3 linked regions of the Caenorhabditis elegans genome follow. The protein of the gene in region 1 interacts with the protein of each later gene in a pairwise test. Each region holds a gene or a part of one and is shown on either strand. Other genes may lie near its edges. The genes, in order: casy-1, fem-2 and C17F4.7.

Region 1 (6,901 bases):
AAACATGGAGATTAATTATTTTTTTAATGTCAAATTTCTGAATTTAGAGTTTATTTTGTCAATTTAAAGCAATATTCTCAATCACGCTACTCCGTTTTTAAGAATCAGAATACAAAAGGAACTCGGAAACAACTATTTAGATATCAACAAATATTCTAAACTATAGACATGAAAAAAGGACGATCCAAGTGCGTATTGCACAAATGATGGCAATTTCTAAATGGAAGACACAAATTTTCCTTCTATCCATCTCACTCTAAAACCCATTTTGAGGCGATGAAAACAGACGGGGCGCTCTCTCAAATCATTATATGCTGCTGAGAAGAGCAAGGACATAAATGGATTTTGTACATAATGTGAAAAAGATTTCTTCTGAGAATGAATGAATGAGTAATTACAGTGGAATGTGAGAAGAGATTCTCGGTTTCTTGAGCCCTTAAGTTTTTATAGGATCTTGAGCAATGAAACTAGAAATTGATAGACTTAGAATAGTTGAGCTCCAAACTTTCAACGCCGTAAGACATAATGTGAGATAGAAAAAACTTGAAGATCCATAAAAACTAACCGTGACAAACAACTGATTGCTGAGTACTCGGCCCTTGAGCATGGCACACTGGACGGTGTAGACACGTTTGGCGTATGATTCTGGTCGAGTGTTGAAATAATGAACCTTCGAGAGCACTTCCTTGTACCCTTGAGCGCTTTCCTCTCCGCGAAGAAGGATGCCCTGAAGAGCAGGAAATTAGAAGATTGAAATCAGATTTGAATCTGTCTGGGACTTACGTCTTTGTCATGCTCAAACTCAATGTTAAGAGCTGCAATGAGTGAAGCCGGTGATGAGAAGTACTCTACATCCATATCACGTGCTGGTTGCAAATGCATCTTACAGTAATCAATCTTGTGGGATTGGGTGACATCTTCGAGTTCTCCGTCTGAAAATGAAATTCCGAAATGTTTCTTATTATTTGCATTTAAAACTTACCAGCATTGTTTTGGCTGATGGTTATGGTGAGATCTGGAACCATAGCTTGTCCAACCTTAACCATGTGTTGATTACTTTTGAGTTGAGACGAAGCAGAGATTGAAAGAGTTGGTTCAGCGGCTTGTTGAACAAAAACGTATCCTTTGCTGGATGGTAGCTTCATCTTCTTGTCATCTTGTTTGCAAGTAACCTCAGTCTCAACAAGGAAAACACGGTGTCCTGGAGCTGGTTTCTCTTGAGTGTTAACATAGGCAACTCTCTTGAGCATTTGACCAATTTGCTTTGATGTTTCAGCCTTCAATGTAAGAGAGGTTTGATCTGGAGAGAATGTTGCACTTTGGCTTTCAAGAAGCTCATCAACTCCGGTGAACTGAAGTTGTTCTGGGCAAGTATGAGCGCATTTTATTGCACGTTCACTTTCAACAGCTCCAGAGAGAAGATAAAGAGAGGAAAGTTGTCCACGGAAGAACTGTGCAAGTTTCTGTTGCCGTCCGTGCCAGCACGCTCCTACAACAAGTTTGGTCTTTGTTGCCTTGGTCTTGTGAAGCGGCCAATCGTCGAGGATTTCAGGATTTCGTTCGTCAGCCTTAAAGCTCTTTCCATCGACGATAACATTAACATCATCGATGCCATTGAAGAGAAGTGAATATGAATGCCACTCATTATCGCATACTTCTGGCATTGACCAACGCCATTCAGCAGCACGGAAGTCTGAAGTGGCTCCAGCTTCACGGCGGAGAACAACCTCCAATTTGCAGTGACGAATGTAGACAGAGAAGTGATGACGGTTCATGTCTGAAAACACATATTCACTGGTTGTTTCTAAAAGAGATAACTCACTGAAATCATCACTTTCGCAAAGAATGTTCTGCTTGTTACTTTGCTCGTCCTTAGTTCCTGCAGCATGTTTCATGGAGAAGCTCAATGTGAAGTGATCCGGAATGAGTCCTTGATGATTTTCATCAGAGACAGTCACTCCTCTGGCTCCATCAAACTCAATTCCTTGATCAGCAAGAATCTGATTCTCAGCCGAGCTGGTAAGGGCTTCTTCGTTCAGCAATTTGACAGTAGCAGTTGAAAGTCCACAAGATTGAATTGTCTGATTATCATAGACAGTGTCTCTTGCACAACCTTGAGTAACGTGTCCAGCACGAAGTTCAATGACTGACTGCACACTCTTTGGTTCACAAATTGTTTCCTTTTCACAGAATTCAAGAGATACGTCTGGGAGGAGAAGCTTTGATCCAACTCCTGGAGCATAGTTGACACGCTCATTCATTGCAGTGATTCCTTGAACACATTTCTCATCAACGTGAACAGTGACCAGAGAACTTTTGCTTTTCCTCATTGCGCAGTCAATAGCGACTACAGTGAGAATGTATGATTTTGATTGAGTAAAGTTGAGTGGCTGAGTTGTACGAAGGACTCCATGATTGTTAATGGCGAACGGAAGTTCCTTAAGTCCATTTGTGATCTCATATTCACAGATTTCTCCGTTTGGATGTCCACAGTCTTTGTCAGATGCCTTCAGTACTCCAACTTCCTCAACAACTTTTCCCTCTTCCACGTGGAATGTGTACCAAGGGTTTTCGATTTCTGGAGCATGATTGTTGGTGTCCTTGACACGGATCTTCAGAGACACTCCTTCACTCTTCACATTGTCGTTATCGCATTTCACAGCTTGAACTTGAAGATTGTATTCTGGCTTCTTGCAGTCTAGTGTGGCAGCATCCTGAATAATAAATGTTTGAACTTTAATGGTGACTCATCAAGAATTAATTTTCTTTAGAAATATTGAATAAAGTTTAATGAAAATTCCTTCTAAGAACACATTGATTTTTAAGCTTACAAAACGGTTTTCCACTAATTATCTGATACACACGAATTAAAATATGAATACTGGAATTTTCATTAGATGCCTATTCTCCAAAAATACATTATGACATCATGTCTCACCTTAACTCGAAGTACAGCTGCTCCAGTGTACTTATCAACAACCTGGATGTCGAATGGCACTGGCTCATTGTTCTGTGATGTAAGGAGGTAGTTGCATACTGGCCCTGAAAATTCCCTCAAATTGTATTCGCTTTATTTTTGTTTCAATTTCAAATTGTGGATAGATATTCCAATTTTTCTAGCTTGTCTTTCATTCCATCACCCGTCTTTTTCAATTCATGCTCTCTCGAATCATCGGCTGTCATGTCATGTCATAGTTAATCCCTCTTCTTTTCTCTTTCTTTTCCACGTCAATCCCTTCGTGTTCTACATCGTCGTCGTCGTCGTCGGTGGCTCGTAATCCTGTGTGTGTGTGTATGGAGCCAGGCTGACAACGACAACGATGCTTCATCATCAAAGAGAAAACAGAGAAAATGCGTGAAAAGAAGAAGAAACATGAAAAAAGAAAACGAAACAATTAATGAGAGGCTGCATTGCTTTTTCGATGAGATTTTTGTGCAAATGAGGTGGGCATGTCAGGAAGGAAACACGAGGGAAAAGAAGAAGATTGAGAATGTAAATGCCATGAATACTAATGAGCATGATTATTTAAAGGAAGTAGCTGAATTTTTGTATTTCTCTAATTAGGTTTGTTAGTTTTCACACCTTCAATTAGGAAAAAGGAAAACTATAAAATTTAATTAAAGTTTCTTGTGATCTAACAAGCCGGCTTGATTATAAACATATCTATATGAATCATGATTTTTAATCGTAAGAGCTGAAAACAATTTATTTTAATCTCCCAACTCACCGGTTTCAGAGAGGATTGCAAAATCCGGCACGGTCGAGATAATGTTCTCATCTTCTCGCACGACAGCCACAAGCTCTTCGGCTCCTTGCAGATTGATTATTGGCGCTGAAAATAGATTGGAATTTAAGAACTAACGGCCAATAATCTGTAAGTGTTACCTCGAGCAGCATGGTGATGTTTGGCGTAGGAGACGCCTAGAAGGGCGCCGACAAAAATAAAGTACGCAGTTCGCATATGTGGGTTTGAGTAAGAGAGCCTGGTTGGAATTTGCGTCTGAAAAATGATTGGTTTTGTGTGCGTGAGTAGAGGTCTGCGAGCAGAGAAGGTGAGAAGAAAATAATTGAAGGAATAAGGAAATAACAAAAAGGGCAGAAAAATGAGAAAATGTGTTGAGTGAATGGAGGAAGTAAATGTGGATGTGTTTGGAAAAAAACAGACTAACAGTCTTAGTGGAATGATAAAACTCTAGGCTTTTGGGTATCTGTAGATTTTAAATACCGGAATTTTCAATAAGATAATTGAGTGGAGATTAACCCACCGATCAAAATTCTACGGATTTCGTATTTCTCTGGATTAAAAAAATATTTTTTTGATTTAGATTTAGATTTTTTATTGAAAGAAATTGTGATGATATACAAAACAATGTGTTCAAAAGACGGAACCACATTTTTTCTATCTCTCTCCCTGTCCACCACTACTTCATGCCTCAATCATTTTCCACCCTCACACGTCATTTTTCCGACTTTTTTCTTTTTTGTGAAAATCGTTTCAGCTCTGCAGCTCCTGGCACTGGTCACGCCATAGTTTTCCGGTAAGCCGTCAGGAGCACTAACATTTCGAAATGAAATGGTGGATGGCACGAGCGAGAAAAAAGAAAATGCGGGGAATTTTTCAATTAGGTGTCAAGGAAAGGTTTGTTTTCGGCTGCTTTCTTGAGCTTTTTCTTGAGCAGCGGGTCTTCTCATTCTTATTCGTGCGTCTACTCAACACCGACTATAAATAAATGGCAATATTGAATATGAGAATTCGTTGAAGAGGCATCATTATTTTGATTTAAAACTTCAAAGATCCAGGATTTAGTTTTAAAATGTTTTGGGATTTGGAGTTTGAAACAAAACGAGGGTTGAAATCTAAGAAACTGGAAAAAGTAGAATAAAAAAGAAAAGGAGGAAGAAAGGCAAACGAACAAAATCTGACGTAGATAAATAGCTGTTTTTTCAATGAAAATATGATTGAATTCTAGAAAAAGATTCTAGAAACGAGAAAAAGTGGCTGGAACGGAATGTGAGCCTTGTTGAAGCTGAGAAAGTAGAGCACGAGAGTCAGCATCTGCTCCTCCTACTCATACCATCTAATCTCCTCTTCACATCCGATTATCAGAAAATGAAATATTGAGTGCTGGGGGAAGTTAAGAAAATGAGAAACCAGAGAAAACATTGAGCTGGTTGTCATGGTTTCATGTGGGGAGCTCAGTCGGCAGAGTGAAGTGAGGCACGAAGAAAAAAAACGCCAAAAGAAATCTGAGAATAAGCAAAAGAATGCGAAGAGACAGAAGTTCTTCTTATTCTTCTTTCTTCAAGCATAACATGTGTGGTTTGAATTGAAAATTAGGTAGAAAAAGGGAAGAACCGAACATGCAAAAATCAAGGGTTGAAAAAGGGAGGCAAGAAGGGGAACAAGAAGAAGAAGAAGTTGAGAGTTGTGAAGACAAGCATGCATGTGTCAATAGAGGTGGAGCATTCGAAAGACGAGGCAAACGGAAGAGGAAGGACGCCGCCGCGAAGGGGACGGAGTACGACGAATAAGTCAAATGCTTACAAGATAAAAGGATGATGATCATGATTATGAGTCAACGAGGTCAATCATGTCAAATGGAATATTGATTGATTGAAACAGTCCCAGAATTGGTGTAAAGAAATTGGTGTAACAAGTTAGAATTTAACAACAAAGATGATCAGCACTAGTTCGTATGGATATGCGATACATTTATTTTACCAAGCAACAAAAAACATGAATTCTTGGATTAAAAAATAAGAAATTTTGAAAATATCCAATAAACTTGTATGTGGATTTTTGGTTTTTTTTAGCAAGACATTCTTGGAAAGAACCCAAAAATTCTATGAAATTCGCATTCCTGCTATTAGGTTTAAACAAAAGTTATATTTTTAGTCGATTCAGAGGAAGTACGGTATACGAAAAAGGAGTTTCTAAGATAATTTAATTCATTCTTACTACATTATTTAAAGTATCCGAAAATAGATCAATCTTCAATATTTTCAATTTACAGCTGCTTCAGACTTTTTTTTGTAAATTGTTGTTATCATGGAATGAACTTTTGGGATTTTTGCATTGTTCGCAAATACATATCCGGTAGTAATATTAAACAGTTCCTCGAATTCGAAAACGAAAACAGGTTGACATCCGATATTTTGGGAGGAACAAGAGAATACTGGGAAGGCTATGGAAAGAGAGGGGCACACAATAAATATAATTCCTTATTCATAATTCATCATCTGACACAGCCAATAGCCAAAACACGGTTCCAGTGTATTACCTGATCATGTGGAAAAAGAGGTTTATATGTATTTGAAGAATTTGGCCAGAATGGATAAGATTTCAAGAAAAAAGAAAAAAAAACGAAGAAAAAGACGAAAGCGAAGGAAGTCATAAATGTATCCGTTTAACGGACGATGGCCAGAAGACACGGGAGCGCCGTGCTCTCGTTAGTTTTTACGAGCAGTTTTTTAGTAATTCGATTATCGGATTATGGTTGTGGTGGGTGTGTGGGTAGAAAATTAATAGCCATTGGAATAGAAAAAGTGCGAAGTGTCAAAAACAGATGACAATGATCCGACTGGTTTTTGAGAAGCATCAAGAGGGTATTGATGCAAAACGAAGTGGCGAGGAGTTCTGGAGAAAAATATAGGTTTTTAAAAAATTCTGTTGAAAAATGAGAATGTGAGGTAAAGATATTGATAATCAAGTGATTTACAAAATAAATTCAAAATGTTTCCGGAAGTCGAGACCGGAATTTGGGGGATAATAAAATATTCGAGAAGGAAAATAAAATGCCAAAAAATGTGAAAAATGAAATCCTCGTGAGATCGGATTACGAGCATATTTCCATGGTTACGTGAAAAAAGGAACAAAATAAAAAAAAGAGTGGGCTGACT
Region 2 (7,205 bases), on another chromosome or scaffold:
GGCTTGGTGTAGGCATAGCATTAAAATCATAAAAAATCATCTCACCTCGGTAATCTCATCCAAGTCATTGTAGTCGAACTCTACACCCATAAATTTGCACAAATGCTTCTTGGTAACCGAATTTTGGAGCAAACGATACTCTCGCCGTCCCAGAATACTTGTAACCAATCCCATCGCAGAAAATCGAGTGAAAATGAGAAAAAAAAAGTGAAGTCGACCAAATTTTATATGCGCCTCTAATTGTTTTTCTCAGAATTTGGCAGGGGGTGTCGTATATGAATTTGGATACTGTACAAAATTGGGTGAAAAATTATAAATATGCCGTTTTTGTGCATCTTCTAATTGTTATTGTCTACATGACTAGAAATTGTGATGAATAGAAAAAAAAGGGAACAATTTAATAATAATTCAGATTTTTAAAGGGTTATATGTATATCTTCCTAATAGTAAGTTCATTTTAATATATCATTTTTATAAATTAAAGTTATTCGACGCAAAAAACGGCGAAAATCGAGGCTTAAACTGCAAAAACAATTATTCGAAATGCTCTGTGACGTCACAAAATTTCAAAAAATATTTTCACGCTTTTCTGGCGCAGTAGAGCGATGGGACAGTCTGGCGCCACATGTCGGTGAACATTGGGTTACTGTAGCTCCAAAAGTATGTAAGTACTGTGGCAACACCAAATTTGACGACAAAATGCTGAAAATTTGTAAAATCACCAATGACGCTAAATTAGAATTTCGTATCGAAAATTTAAAAAAAATCAAATTTTGTAAAATTCCACCATAAAAAAAAATTAAATTCAAAATTTTTTGGACCAAATCTTTTTTCCTTAAAACGCGCCCAAACCTGGCTAAACTGCAATTATCAGTAGAGCGCGTTTACACTGATGTACCCTTTGCCGGGCCGTGTTTCAGCTAAATTCTGCTTTCTTTGTTAATAGAGCGCATTTGCTGTAAGCGGGAAATTTGAAATTCCCTCTTGAAAATATGACTTTTTTAATCATTTTTTCGCGGTGTTTTCGAGCTTTTCTTTCGAAAAATCCCGGATTTTCAATTGAAAAGGAGATTTTCTACTGAAAATGACTGGTATACTCCGATTTTTTACATTTTTCACGAGTTGAAAAGTTTACAGTCATTTATGAAAATTCAGTGTTCAAAAAGTGTCTCAAAAACCTATTCAGCTACTCAATATCCCAGTAATTCCACGTCATTATACAATTTATATCATAAAATAAATTCAAATCAAATATATGTTCAAGTGGAGGAGGAGAAGGAAAGTACTCGGATTTTTGGTGGGATGCCAACTGGTTGGAAACGTATGTAAATGTGAAATGCTACAGGAACACCGAGAACAAAATATGTGTGTGGGTCACGGAAAGCTGCTAGATAACGGGGAGAAATGACGACGATATGGTGAATAGGAGAGAGAAAATTGGAATACCCAAAAAACAAATAGACACAGGAAAACAGGGGAAAATTTGATAAAATCGACCGAAAATTAGGAAAAAAAACGACAAAAATTTGAGAAAATCAACCGAAGTTTAGCAAGAATTTTCCCAATTTTCAGGCAAAATTTCCACCGAAAAGCAGTTATTCCTCATCAGTGACATCGGAATCTTCATCGTCTGATTCATGTTTCATAAGCTTCCACACATCCTGCGGTGGACGCAAAAAGCCAATCACAACAGACACGTTGTCGGCACTTCCAGCCTCAATCGCTTTTGTACAGATGAAACGGGAGAGCTCCGCGTAGTCTGAAAAAATTTTTTTTCGATTTTTAAAGAATTTTCTACATTAAAAAATAAAGTAACGTCGGCTAATGTTTTTTACCTTAAAAATAATTTTGAATGGTTTTTTTAAAAATTGATTTTTTCAAATTTTAGTAAATTACCCGATTTTCTTTTTTAAAAATACAATAATTCGAAAATCTTTACTTTTTTTTTTGAAAACCCCCGAAAAATAGCCAATCTTCTGATTTTTTTTCAGAAAAAAAAAACGAAAAAATAGTTTTTGGCTTTGGAAATTTAGTTTTTCTCCAAGAATTTTTATTAACCTTCAACAGGATAATCATTCGCAAATGCCTCCACCAACTGGTACAGGTCACGCTCGTTGAAAACATCAGAAATTCCATCACAAGCCAGGAGCACCAGATAATCCGAGCTTTCAATAGGCACCTGACACGTTTCCGGTTCATTAGAGATCATCGGCCGTCCAGGAACATCTCCGAGTGCTCGGGTGAGATTTAGAACTCCGTTCACCCGCAATTCGCCTCCAATCACAAAAAGCTGGCCGCCAGCTTCCTCAACACGCCGAGCTTCCCGTTCATCGGATGGCGAGTGTCCACGTGTCAACTGACGGAATTCAATGTTCGACATGACGTATCCGGGTGAGTCACCGAGCCACGCCAGCGCCATAAGCTTCTGATCCATGTCGATTGCACAGCAGACAGCTGTACTTCCACCCTTCCAACACTCTTTCACACTTCTGACAGTCATTCGTTCGTCGAGAAGCTCCAGCGACTTGCGAAGCTGATCTTCGAGGCTATCTGAAGGATCTCGCGATTTTCGAACCTCCAACCATGTCTCCCAAAGGTGCCCGGCTGCGTACTGAGAGCACTCGTGACCACCGTGACCATCGAACACCGCTAACACCGAAATTGGATCCTAAAAATTTCATTTTTCAGTAATTTTCCAGGCCTAAAATCCTCCTAAACCTCTCCACGATCCATATATTGCCCATTAGGATACGCCAAAAACCGATCTTCTTGCTTGTGACGTTGCCCTTTCAGTTGATCGCCCGACACGTGGATTCCAGACCACTTTTCAGACAGAATCGGGCACGTTTCGGCGTTTTGCTGGAGAATCTTGTCGATCGCCGGCCAAATTTTGTCGTTGAATAGCTTTTTGGCTTCTGAAAATAAGTTGTATTGATGAACAGAAGTGTTGAGTTTTTGAAGATTTTTTAAAAATTCTATTTAACAAGTTTTATTTTTGCAAAAATTAGCAGATCAATGGGGAATGGCCAGCTAAAAATATTTAGCAGACCAATGAGGATAGGTCTGCTAAATATTTAGCAGACTCATGGTAGGTATGCTAAATATTTAGCAGACCCATAGGTGGTCTGCTAAATAATTAGCAGACCCATAGTTGGTCTGCTAAATAATTAGCAGACCAATGGGGATGGGTCTGCTAAATATTTAGCAGACCCAAGTTAGGTATGCTAAATATTTAGCAGACCAATGGGGATAGGCCTGCTGAATATTTAGCAGGCCCATGCTTGGTCTGCTAAATTAATAGCAGATTTTGCACATTTAATAATTACCTGTGGTACTATCGGTAACATAAATATCAGGATTATACTGAACATCTCTGAACGCAACTTCACTGAATTTCTCGTCAATTTCTGTGGCGATCAAGTGAGACACCCAGTGACAAAAGTCGACCGCCTGGCCTCTTTTCATCATTTTCTGGAAAATGTCGTGAATCGCGTCTCCGAAAACATCATGAACTGGTCCGGCGATTGGTGGATGACGGAAACGTATTGGAATATGCGGTTGTGGAGTGTCGGCAACCTCGACGTCATAGCTAGTTTTCTCCATTTCATCTGCAAATGCCTCCTCCAGAAGTGACCGGACACTTCGACGGCGATCGCCGATGTGATCCTGGAATATACATTTTTCTAACTAGCATTAAATATATAAAATCCCGTTTTCTACCTCGAAAACCGCATCCCGCTCCTCGTTTACTTTTTCCATGTATTTTTCCAGTTTTAAAACCACTACCGGCTTCGGTGGGACAGCTGGGTTGATCTGACATTTCAATAATTGTTTTTAACATAAAAATCAGAGAAAAACCGAGAAAAAACAATGGATTTCAACACAAAATGAGGAAAAATCAACAAAAAAATAATGCAGAATTTTCTGCACCAGAAACGCGCAAAGCTTCTCGTTTGCGCACTTTCGGTGCGTTGGCGCGTTTCTCGCGCGAAATATTAATTTAATTCGCATTGTATTGTATTAATAACATTTTTATCAAATCAAAAATGGATCAAAAATTTAAAATAAAAATCAATTATTCATATATATCCATGCGCGCCAAGATAATCCCACTCCACATTCGGCGTCTGTACTTGGCTGTCCAAAAGATCCCATTCCTTCACTTTCGCCCTCTCCGCCCAATTACATGCTTCATATTTGTGGATATATGTCTCCTTGAAATGCTCCCATAGCTCATTTGCCACGCGATACTGAAACTCCACGTGGCATCGGAATTCAGCGGGGTCGGCTCTAAGCTTGGGTAGCGAGTTGTAAGCTTGAACTGCGGCATTTTTTCTCAACTGGGCGTACTTATCGATTTTCCACGTGGTTAGTAAGAAGAAGTCCTTGTAAAGAATAAGAAGAGTATCGATGATTTCACCGGTTTCCTGGAAAAATCGCAGATTTTTCTTGAGTTAACTCAAACGCCATTGAAGGCCGCCTACCTCATCCTCAGCACCCAAATTCTGAAGTTCCCTGCATTTTCTCCGAATCTCGTACAACGTTTTTTTATACTTGTCGCGAACCTCGTTGTTCTCTACTTCAATGACTCGTTGTCCGGCGGGAAGCTGAATTCATTAATTCAGTTCTTGATAAATGTAATTTTGAAAAAAATATGTTTAAAAAACCTCGGCAACGTCAATTCTACCGTTATTCGAGAGGGTGATCGGTGTGCGCTTGTAGATTTCCTAAAAATTTATAAATTTGAGAAAATCCGTGCCCGTGATTAAGAATATTCTCACCTCAAAAATATCCGGTTTTTTGATAATCTCGTTACTTTTCGAGTAAAGTACACAGGGGCGTTCAACATTTTCCTCCTCGGGATTCACAGAGATTTTGACCTGAAAATTTCTTGAGCTTAGGTATAGGCATACGTTTAGGTATTGTCAAAGGCATAGACTTAGAAATTGGCATAGACTTAGGCGTAGGCTTTGGCTGAGGCCTAGGCTGAGTCTTAGGCTTTGGCTGAGTCTTAGGCTTAGGTGTGAGCTTAGTCTTAGGCTAACCTTTAGGCTTAAGCTTAGGTGTAGGCTTAGGTTTAGGCCTAGGCTTATGCGTAGGCTTAGGCTTGTGTCTCCAGGCATAGGCTTAGGTTTAGACTTAAGCTTAGATTTGTTTTTTTTTTCGAAGGTTTCTCAGCAAAAAAGATTGAAAACATAAGACTCTGAAAAAAAAACGAAAAATATTACCTTTGGGTCCCGTTCAGCAATACGTGGGCTCTCTTTCACCGCAACTGGGCCTGCCAGCTGATAGACGCTGGAAATATTATCTGTAGCTGAATCTACAGTGCACAGGGTTCCAAGACATTGCCCCATTATCGGTTGTGACAGGGAAATAGAGGATTACTTGGCGAAGGCTCAACTTGGTAGGCCGCCTAATTTACAGTACCCCACGACTGCCTTGTTTTCGACTAGTCCGGGTTATTTTTAAATTTTGTTGGAAAAACAACAAGAAAATTGTACAATTTCATGAATTTCGCTGGCCTGGTGAGTACTGTAAATTATGCAAAGTGATGGAAAATAAATATTGAACGAATTTTTTTCGAGCCGGGGAAACTTAGAGAATTAGTTTTCTAGCCTTCAAATCATGTTCCTGGGGTTTTTTTCCAAATTGTTTTTCTCAAAAATTTGTAAGATTAACACTTTTCATTTAAAAGCAATAATGATTTCTGAAAACCTGACACAAAAAGTTTTTGGTAACTGGGAAAAAACATGGGAACGTTGATGATAACAATTTGAGATCCAAAAAGAATTCTCGGGTGTGTGGAGGGGAAAAAAAGAAAAACACTCAAAAATGTCTGCACATTTTGAGTGCAAAAGAGCAAAAAAGCAACAAAAAAATAAAATTTTTAACATGAAATTTAAGAAATCTGCAATTCTCCTTCGACGACATCCTTCAAGCTGAGAATCTCCAATCTTCCGTGTCCCTTCGTCTCATTTCGGACCAAATCGTCCAAAGCTCTGAACGATCCGGGCTCAATGAGCCCAACCATCTCGAGGCTTCCATCCTGCCAATCGTCAACTTCCACGTCACTGAATAGGGTTTTAAGCTTCGTGTGCACGGATTTCGCTTCTTTTGTCGGAATCGCCACACGGATCTTCATCTTGGCTCGTTCGATTTTCAGAGTTTCACGAAGTTTTGGAATTGCGTCGAGAGCCTGCTGCTTTGAGGAACGATTCGGTTTCAGGGAAAAGTGCATTTCTTGTAGAGCTTTATCGATTACTGACGGTGGAACTGGACGCTTCGTTTCAGGATTTACGACCATTGAGGCAATCAGCTGGGATACCTGGAAAATTGAGATTTTTCAGGATTTTTTTGAAGAAAAATTAAAAATTTTCAGGAACTTGTTTGGGAGAAAATTAAGATTTTTTAGGAATTTTTAGAAAAAATTGGGATTTTTCAGGAATTTTTTTGGAGGAAAATTGAAATTTTTTAGGAATTTTTTAGGAATTTTTTAGAGGAAAATTGAGATTTTTCAGGAATTTTTTTGGATGAAAATTCACATTTTTCAAGAATTTTTTTATATAAAAATTGAGATTTTTAAAGGATTTTTTTTTTGGAGGAAAATTAAGATTTATCAGGAATTTTTTTTGAAGGAAAATTGAGATTTTTCAGGAATTTTTTGGATGAAAAATTACATTTTTCAGGAATTTTTTTGACGAAAATTGAGATTTTTCAGGATTTTTTTTGAAGAAAAATTGAGATTTTTCAGGATTTTTTTTGGAGGAAAATTTACATTTTTCAGGAGAAAAAAACTACCTAATTTTTTAAAAATTTAAAGAAAAAAACAGGTTTTTAGCCTGGAATCTAAAATTTTTTCATTTTTTGCTACGTGGCAAGTTGTACCTCTTTCAGCGATTGATCTGAAGCCGCCTGACGCTCTTTTTCCGACACTTGCAAGTCTCCTTTGTCGAGAATCTGAAATTTAGGAAATATTGTCTTTTTCTACCTATTTTGAATAAATTTATTCAACTTTTTAGATGACAAATAACACTAATTACACCAAATTTTAGGCCAAAATGTTTTTTAATCTGAAAAAAAAACTTTAAAATTTCTTTTTTTCCAGAAAATCCAAGTTTTCCTTACAATTTTACAAATTTCCAACTGATCCTCGATTCCAAAAGCGGCGATAAGCTCCTCTTTCTTGGAAAGTTGTCCTTTTGAGA
Region 3 (5,448 bases), 2.7 Mb from region 1:
GTAGCTGAGTTTGAGTTTGAGTATGTCCTGAGTTTGACTGAGTAGCGACTCAGCGAATCTCCAAATAGCTTTAACTCGGCTCAACGTTGGCATAGAGCTTTGGTTCAAAAACTAGAGTTCATTTCAAACAAAATTTTATTCAATCAAAAAGTGGCTGCTGGTAGAATTTCTCCAAATCCCGTAGCTCCGAGTTATACACGATGACACGTGGCTCATTGGATTGAGTAGCCTCCCGGTAGGCAAGCATTGGGTTGTAGAATTGCAGCTGGAAATTGAATTGTTTGTTGGAAATTTTTGAAAAAAACTAACTTACTGATTTAGAATCAGGGGTGACTATCATTTGGAACGGGATTTTCAGAGTTGGCCGGGTGCCATAAGTCGTGGGATTTTCTTGAATAGAATTGGCTTCAGGGAAATTTGAAATTTCTGGGATTTGACTATTTTCTGCATATTGAGCTGGAAAGTTGTTGAATACTGAAAATTTTAAATTTCAGATTTTGGCGGAATCAATTTTTGATGATATAAACCTACCTCTAGCTTTAACAAAAATATGGGTGCAGCTCAATATCAGGTAGCAAATCACAATAGAATTTTGATAAAGCATTGTTCAAATCACAAACTAGACTTTTCAATCTTATCACGTCTTCATTCCTTTTATCCCCTACATTTTGCAAGGATAAGCTAAACCGGTTTGGGATCATATGACACAAAGGTCGGGAAGGGAGAGAGTGTTAGGTTGGGTTGGGGGAACCTGGGTTTTTGAAATGTTTAAAGGATATTGTAAATTTACAACAATGATTAACCAGTAAAGTATTTAAGTTTTCGACCAAACTCGGAAAAATATAAGTTTTTCAAAAATAGTGAAAATTAAAAGCTCTAAAAATCCGCCTGTGTTTAAAAATTTTTCTCGAAAACTGTTTTCCAAAATTAAAAAAAAATTACTGCAAAAAACTGTTAACTACACAAATGCCTGTAAAAATTTGAAAAATTTAGGTTTCTCGCCAATTCTTCAAATTTTAATATTTTTTTGAAAAAAAAAATTATTGCAATTTCCCACATGTAATATTAACTTTATAATAAGTTGTTTTTTGTTTTTCTGGTTTTTTTTTCAATATCTAAAAAGTGTACTAGAAGTTTGACCCCCCCCCCCCCCCCTCGAAGAAGTGATAGCGAACAGGATAATCTTGAGATAAAAGGGAAATTGGAAAGTGACACGGATTGAACTTTTGGGAATTTGGAAGAGATGTGTAGGAAAACTACAAATTAAAAATTTGTTGAAAAATTCAGAAATTAATTTTTTTTAATGTTAAATAATTTCTAGACTGCAAAAATTATAGAAAAAATTGAAATGCTTTACACATTTCTGAAAAATTCTGTAGTTTTTTTTTTGGAATTTTCTGAAATTTCCTAAAAAATCACAAATACTAAATATACGCATTTTTATGACCTCTGCTCCGATAATGAGCAGTTCTCCATCACCGACATCCTTTTTATGACCCTGCCATAAAAATGTTTGATTTTTGAAAATAATGAAACAAGTTACTTTTTTAGTAATATTTTCAATTGTCATGCGCATATGTATTTATTATCGAGCATATCAAAATGTACAAAAAAAAATTAGGAGAGCTCAAGTTGTGCCATAACACAGGCAATCTCTTCGTGCTTTGTATTTCCTGGATTGTGGTTGAACATGCGGATTTCCAGTTCGTAGGGCTTCTGAAAATGAGAAAACAGTGAATTTAAAGAAAATTTTGAGATCACAATGGAGTGTATGTAGTTTGTAGTTTGTGACGTCGCTAGTTTGAAACTGGAACATCTCAAATTCTAGCACATACTGCTGTACTGTAGGAGTTATGTTTTCAGATAATGTAAGGGTACTGTAGGATAACTGTTTTCCTAGATTACCAAAGGATTCATTTAAAGTTATTGTGGTTGGGTACTGTAGGAGTACTGTAGGGGTACTGTAACTTACATGCGCAGCCAGAAGCTCAATGATGACAGAAAACTGGCTCAAATCCAACGGCAAAATCAAAAACAGCGGTCCTGACTCCAACGGGCAATTGTGTGCAAAATCACAGCCATCAATATCATCCAACAATCCAAAAGTGGGAATCGACTTCCAAGAGCATCCACCAGTCCATCCTGACTTGTACTGATTGATTTTCACTTTCACCTTATTATCATCAATTTGTTCTCCATGATTGTAAGTGGTAAGGTTCAGAATAAACGGATGGCGGGGGTCAATCGGGTAGTAGGGCTTCTGATTAGAGTCCAAAGTCTGAATATCGGTGATTGAAAATTGCTCATTGTCGGAGCACATGTAGGAGTGAATCGCCTTGTCAGTACCATTTGGGAATGGGCAGTCTGCAAAGTTGACCGGGTTGGCTCCGATGGTGAATGCTCCGACGAGCAGGAGAAACAGAACTGATAACATAGCCAGAAAAGTGCAATGGTTTCCTAGTTTGGAGCGGGGTTTTATATGCTGAAACCAGTCACACCACCCTTATCAGTTTAACTATTTTGTGTCGCATAGTTAATATGTGGATGACGCTGAACGAGCCATAAAAGTGCAGTTAGTGAAGTAGTGATAAGGAAAATTGGCTGCTTGGTTTTTGAAGTTTGGAAACCATATGAAAAACGGAAATTGAAAATTAAATTGCAATCTCCGGATTCCAATTACAAACTACCTATGTAAGACCTGAGATGTCCGGTAGACTGCCTATTTTCAGAGAAATTTCCAGCTTCCAGCAAATTATCAAAATCTAGATATTCCAATTTATTTAATTACTATTATAAAACACAATAAAATTCTATACAAAATTTAATAACGACACAAATGCTTCGACTTTCCAACTCCCTCCACTTTGTCCATAAACTCGTCGAGCAATGTTTCAATCATATAGTACAACTTGTTGAGGCCAACTCGGTCGATTGTGATGGTGAGCAACCATTTCTCGGGGCTCTTCTTTTCACAGTACGCGTAGATTTCCATGGTGTCACTCACGGTGTAGACAATCACATTGGGGAACTCTTCGCATCTGAAATAATAGATAAATTAATGAATGACAAGGTAAAAAGCGCCGTAAATCTACAAGAAAACATTTACAATTTGGCAGAAATTTAAGTAAATCTACATGAAAATCCGCAAGTCTACACAAAGATCCGTAAATCTTTACGTAGGTTCGTAAATCTACACTTGCTTCCGTAAATCTACACGTCCTTCCGTAAATCTACACTGGCGTCCGTAAATCTACACCTACCGTAAGTTCACACATTCCTCTTGTAAATCCACATAGTCTTCCGTAAATCTACACTATCTACTTCCCGTTTATCTACGCCACCTACCGCAAGTTCACTCATTCCTTCCGTAAATCTATGTGTAGATCCGTAAATCTACACAGTCCCCGTAAATCCACACTAACCCCCGTAAATCTACACTAGCCCCCGTAAATCTTCACGGGCTCCTGTAAATCTACACTAGCTTCCGTAAACCTACACAATCTCCCGTAAAACTACATGTGCTTTCGTAAATCTACTCAACTTTTCGTGAATCTACACAGACCACCTATATCCTCACATTCCTCCGTAAATCTACACCTATTCCCGTAAACCCACACTAAAAACCGTAAATCTACCTAACTACCCGATAAACTCACACTTTTCCAAAAAATTTGATCGGATCCTTCTTTCCGGCGTCGCCAAGCACCTCAGACAACGCGAACACTTGCTTCACCAGCTCCGGATTTGACAGCGTGAACTTGTAGTGGAAATTACCGGCAGTTTTGATATTCTCCGTAGTCCCATCGGCCCATTTCTCGATAAGCCGCATAAAATCGTCGACCGTGTAGTCGTCCGCGCTCTCCAAATGAATCCTCTTGTTCGGAAGGCTGCAAAGGAAAGAAACCGGCACCGAACGTCCCAGGATCACCAGCTTCTTTGCGTTTTTGCAAGCATCGTGACTGAAGTTCTCGAATTTCTCAAAATCCTTGTGCCCAATCACATAGAGCCTACGAAGCGGGAAGCTCTTCTCATCAAGCATCTTGCTCAGCGAGCCCATCACCGAAGCCACGTTGGATTGGATCGTCAAGCAGAGAGCCTTCACTTTCAGGGACTCCGGGAACTTTAAGACTTCCGAATTGGGGATGAGAAGAAGCCCGATGCTCAGAGGCTCCTGGTATCCACTGAGCAGTCGGGAAATGAGATCCTCCATGGAGTGACGTGAGGGCTCACGGATTTGCTGGCCGGTCCGCTTGTCGAGCACGGTAAGCTGCCCATCGCCGAGTTGATACTCCACCGCGTTCACGAAAAGCTTGTCCTGTAGGAGGGTGAGCTCATAGACGTAAAGTGGCACTGACTTCTCAAAGGATCGCAGAGATGGGCATTGCTGGGAGAGGTGGAATCTGGAAAATAAAGGTTCGAATTTGCGAAATATTTTTTATTTATTTTTAAAATTAAATTTAAAAAAAAACTACGAAACTGACCGCTGATTCGCATCCATGAACCGAAGAATCGACTTCAAGCACTCGTCGGAAAATCCACTGGTCGTTGAAAAATTACCTGTCTCCATTGGGAGGAATAACAGATATGAATGACTGTTTCCTGTGCACAACGCCGCCGGAAAATGGACAAAATCTGTCTGTTTCTCTGCGTCTCCTCACTCAGTGCGCTCTCTCGCCGGCAGCTGTTCGCGCGGTGTATACAGGCGGCAGCGATGAAATTGGCGGTGTGGTTTTTTTTGATCTACCGAGGAAATTGGAGAAATTTTTAGGGGTTTGGGTTAGAAAAAATGAAAAAAAAAAAAGATTTTTATGTATTTCAGAATAATCTGAAAGCTTCTATCTTGGGAAATTATCGATTTTTTAAAATTTTTTCCAGGAATTTCGCAATCCTAGGCCTATGTCTTAGCCTAAGCCTAAGACTAAGACTAAGCCTAAACAATTCTGACTTTTGTAGTTTTTTGTAAATACTGAACCTTTTCCCGAACTTCTATTTCTTTTTAACCCCCTTTACATGTGATAATCGATAAGGAAAAGCCGAGAAACCCAATAAAATCCAGTTTTCCGAGAAACTTATCGCACTGATAACCCTATCTTCTTTTCACTTTCCACCATTTTTCTCGTCAAATAAACCGTAAAAATTATGAAGAAAATCTTATTTTTCTTGTATTTCTGCTGCAATTTAGCCCATGGGCTCACCCGACAGGATTTGTTGGACCATTTAAAATATGCACAAGGTAAGTTTTTGAACTTTTTTGCTGAAATTCATAAATTTTTCCAGAAACCCGTAACACTTTTGACTCGAGAATTCGACAAGGAGACTATATGAAACCTATCGGTTATGTTGGCGGAAAGTGATCATTTTTTGATTTTTTTCAGACAAATTTCAAGCCAATTTCAGACCAATCTGGCCGAGGGTCCTGGAAAGGGTCCGGTCTACCGGTGAGCTGTT

The links.
Region 2: the proteins of casy-1 (region 1) and fem-2 interact in a two-hybrid assay, tested with the Caenorhabditis elegans proteins (one large-scale study listed by BioGRID).
Region 3: the proteins of casy-1 (region 1) and C17F4.7 interact in a two-hybrid assay, tested with the Caenorhabditis elegans proteins (one large-scale study listed by BioGRID).

What each region holds. Positions count from the first base shown.
Region 1 is NC_003280.10:5,952,683-5,959,583, forward strand, and holds the start of casy-1 (Secreted calsyntenin-1), read right to left. Parts: upstream 4,002-6,901; 5' UTR 3,963-4,001; coding exon 3,887-3,962; intron 3,834-3,886; coding exon 3,729-3,833; intron 3,043-3,728; coding exon 2,939-3,042; intron 2,715-2,938; coding exon 1,823-2,714; intron 1,778-1,822; coding exon 983-1,777; intron 933-982; coding exon 784-932; intron 728-783; coding exon 566-727; intron 1-565. UniProt on the Caenorhabditis elegans protein: Cell adhesion molecule involved in associative learning and memory.
Region 2 is NC_003281.10:630,814-638,018, forward strand, and holds fem-2 (Protein phosphatase fem-2), read right to left. Parts: upstream 3,814-7,205; 5' UTR 3,760-3,813; coding exon 3,721-3,759; intron 3,667-3,720; coding exon 3,327-3,666; intron 2,916-3,326; coding exon 2,719-2,915; intron 2,669-2,718; coding exon 2,059-2,668; intron 1,760-2,058; coding exon 1,596-1,759; 3' UTR 1,206-1,595; downstream 1-1,205. Other genes in the region: T19C3.6 (uncharacterized protein), read right to left, coding at 46-174; eakr-4 (EAK-4 Related), read right to left, coding at 4,080-4,427, 4,485-4,607, 4,668-4,727, 4,782-4,880, 5,229-5,354; sbds-1 (Ribosome maturation protein SBDS), read right to left, coding at 5,900-6,325, 6,886-6,957, 7,126-7,205. UniProt on the Caenorhabditis elegans protein: Dephosphorylates auto-phosphorylated Ca(2+)/calmodulin-dependent protein kinase unc-43/CAMKII in vitro. Involved in the regulation of sex determination.
Region 3 is NC_003280.10:3,243,552-3,248,999, forward strand, and holds C17F4.7 (MD-2-related lipid-recognition domain-containing protein), read right to left. Parts: upstream 2,465-5,448; 5' UTR 2,435-2,464; coding exon 1,973-2,434; intron 1,717-1,972; coding exon 1,618-1,716; 3' UTR 1,536-1,617; downstream 1-1,535. Other genes in the region: C17F4.12 (uncharacterized protein), read right to left, coding at 140-265, 314-474, 532-604; fbxc-50 (F-box domain-containing protein), read right to left, coding at 2,822-3,038, 3,657-4,400, 4,482-4,567; C17F4.2 (Neuropeptide-Like Protein), read left to right, coding at 5,140-5,233, 5,278-5,350, 5,398-5,448.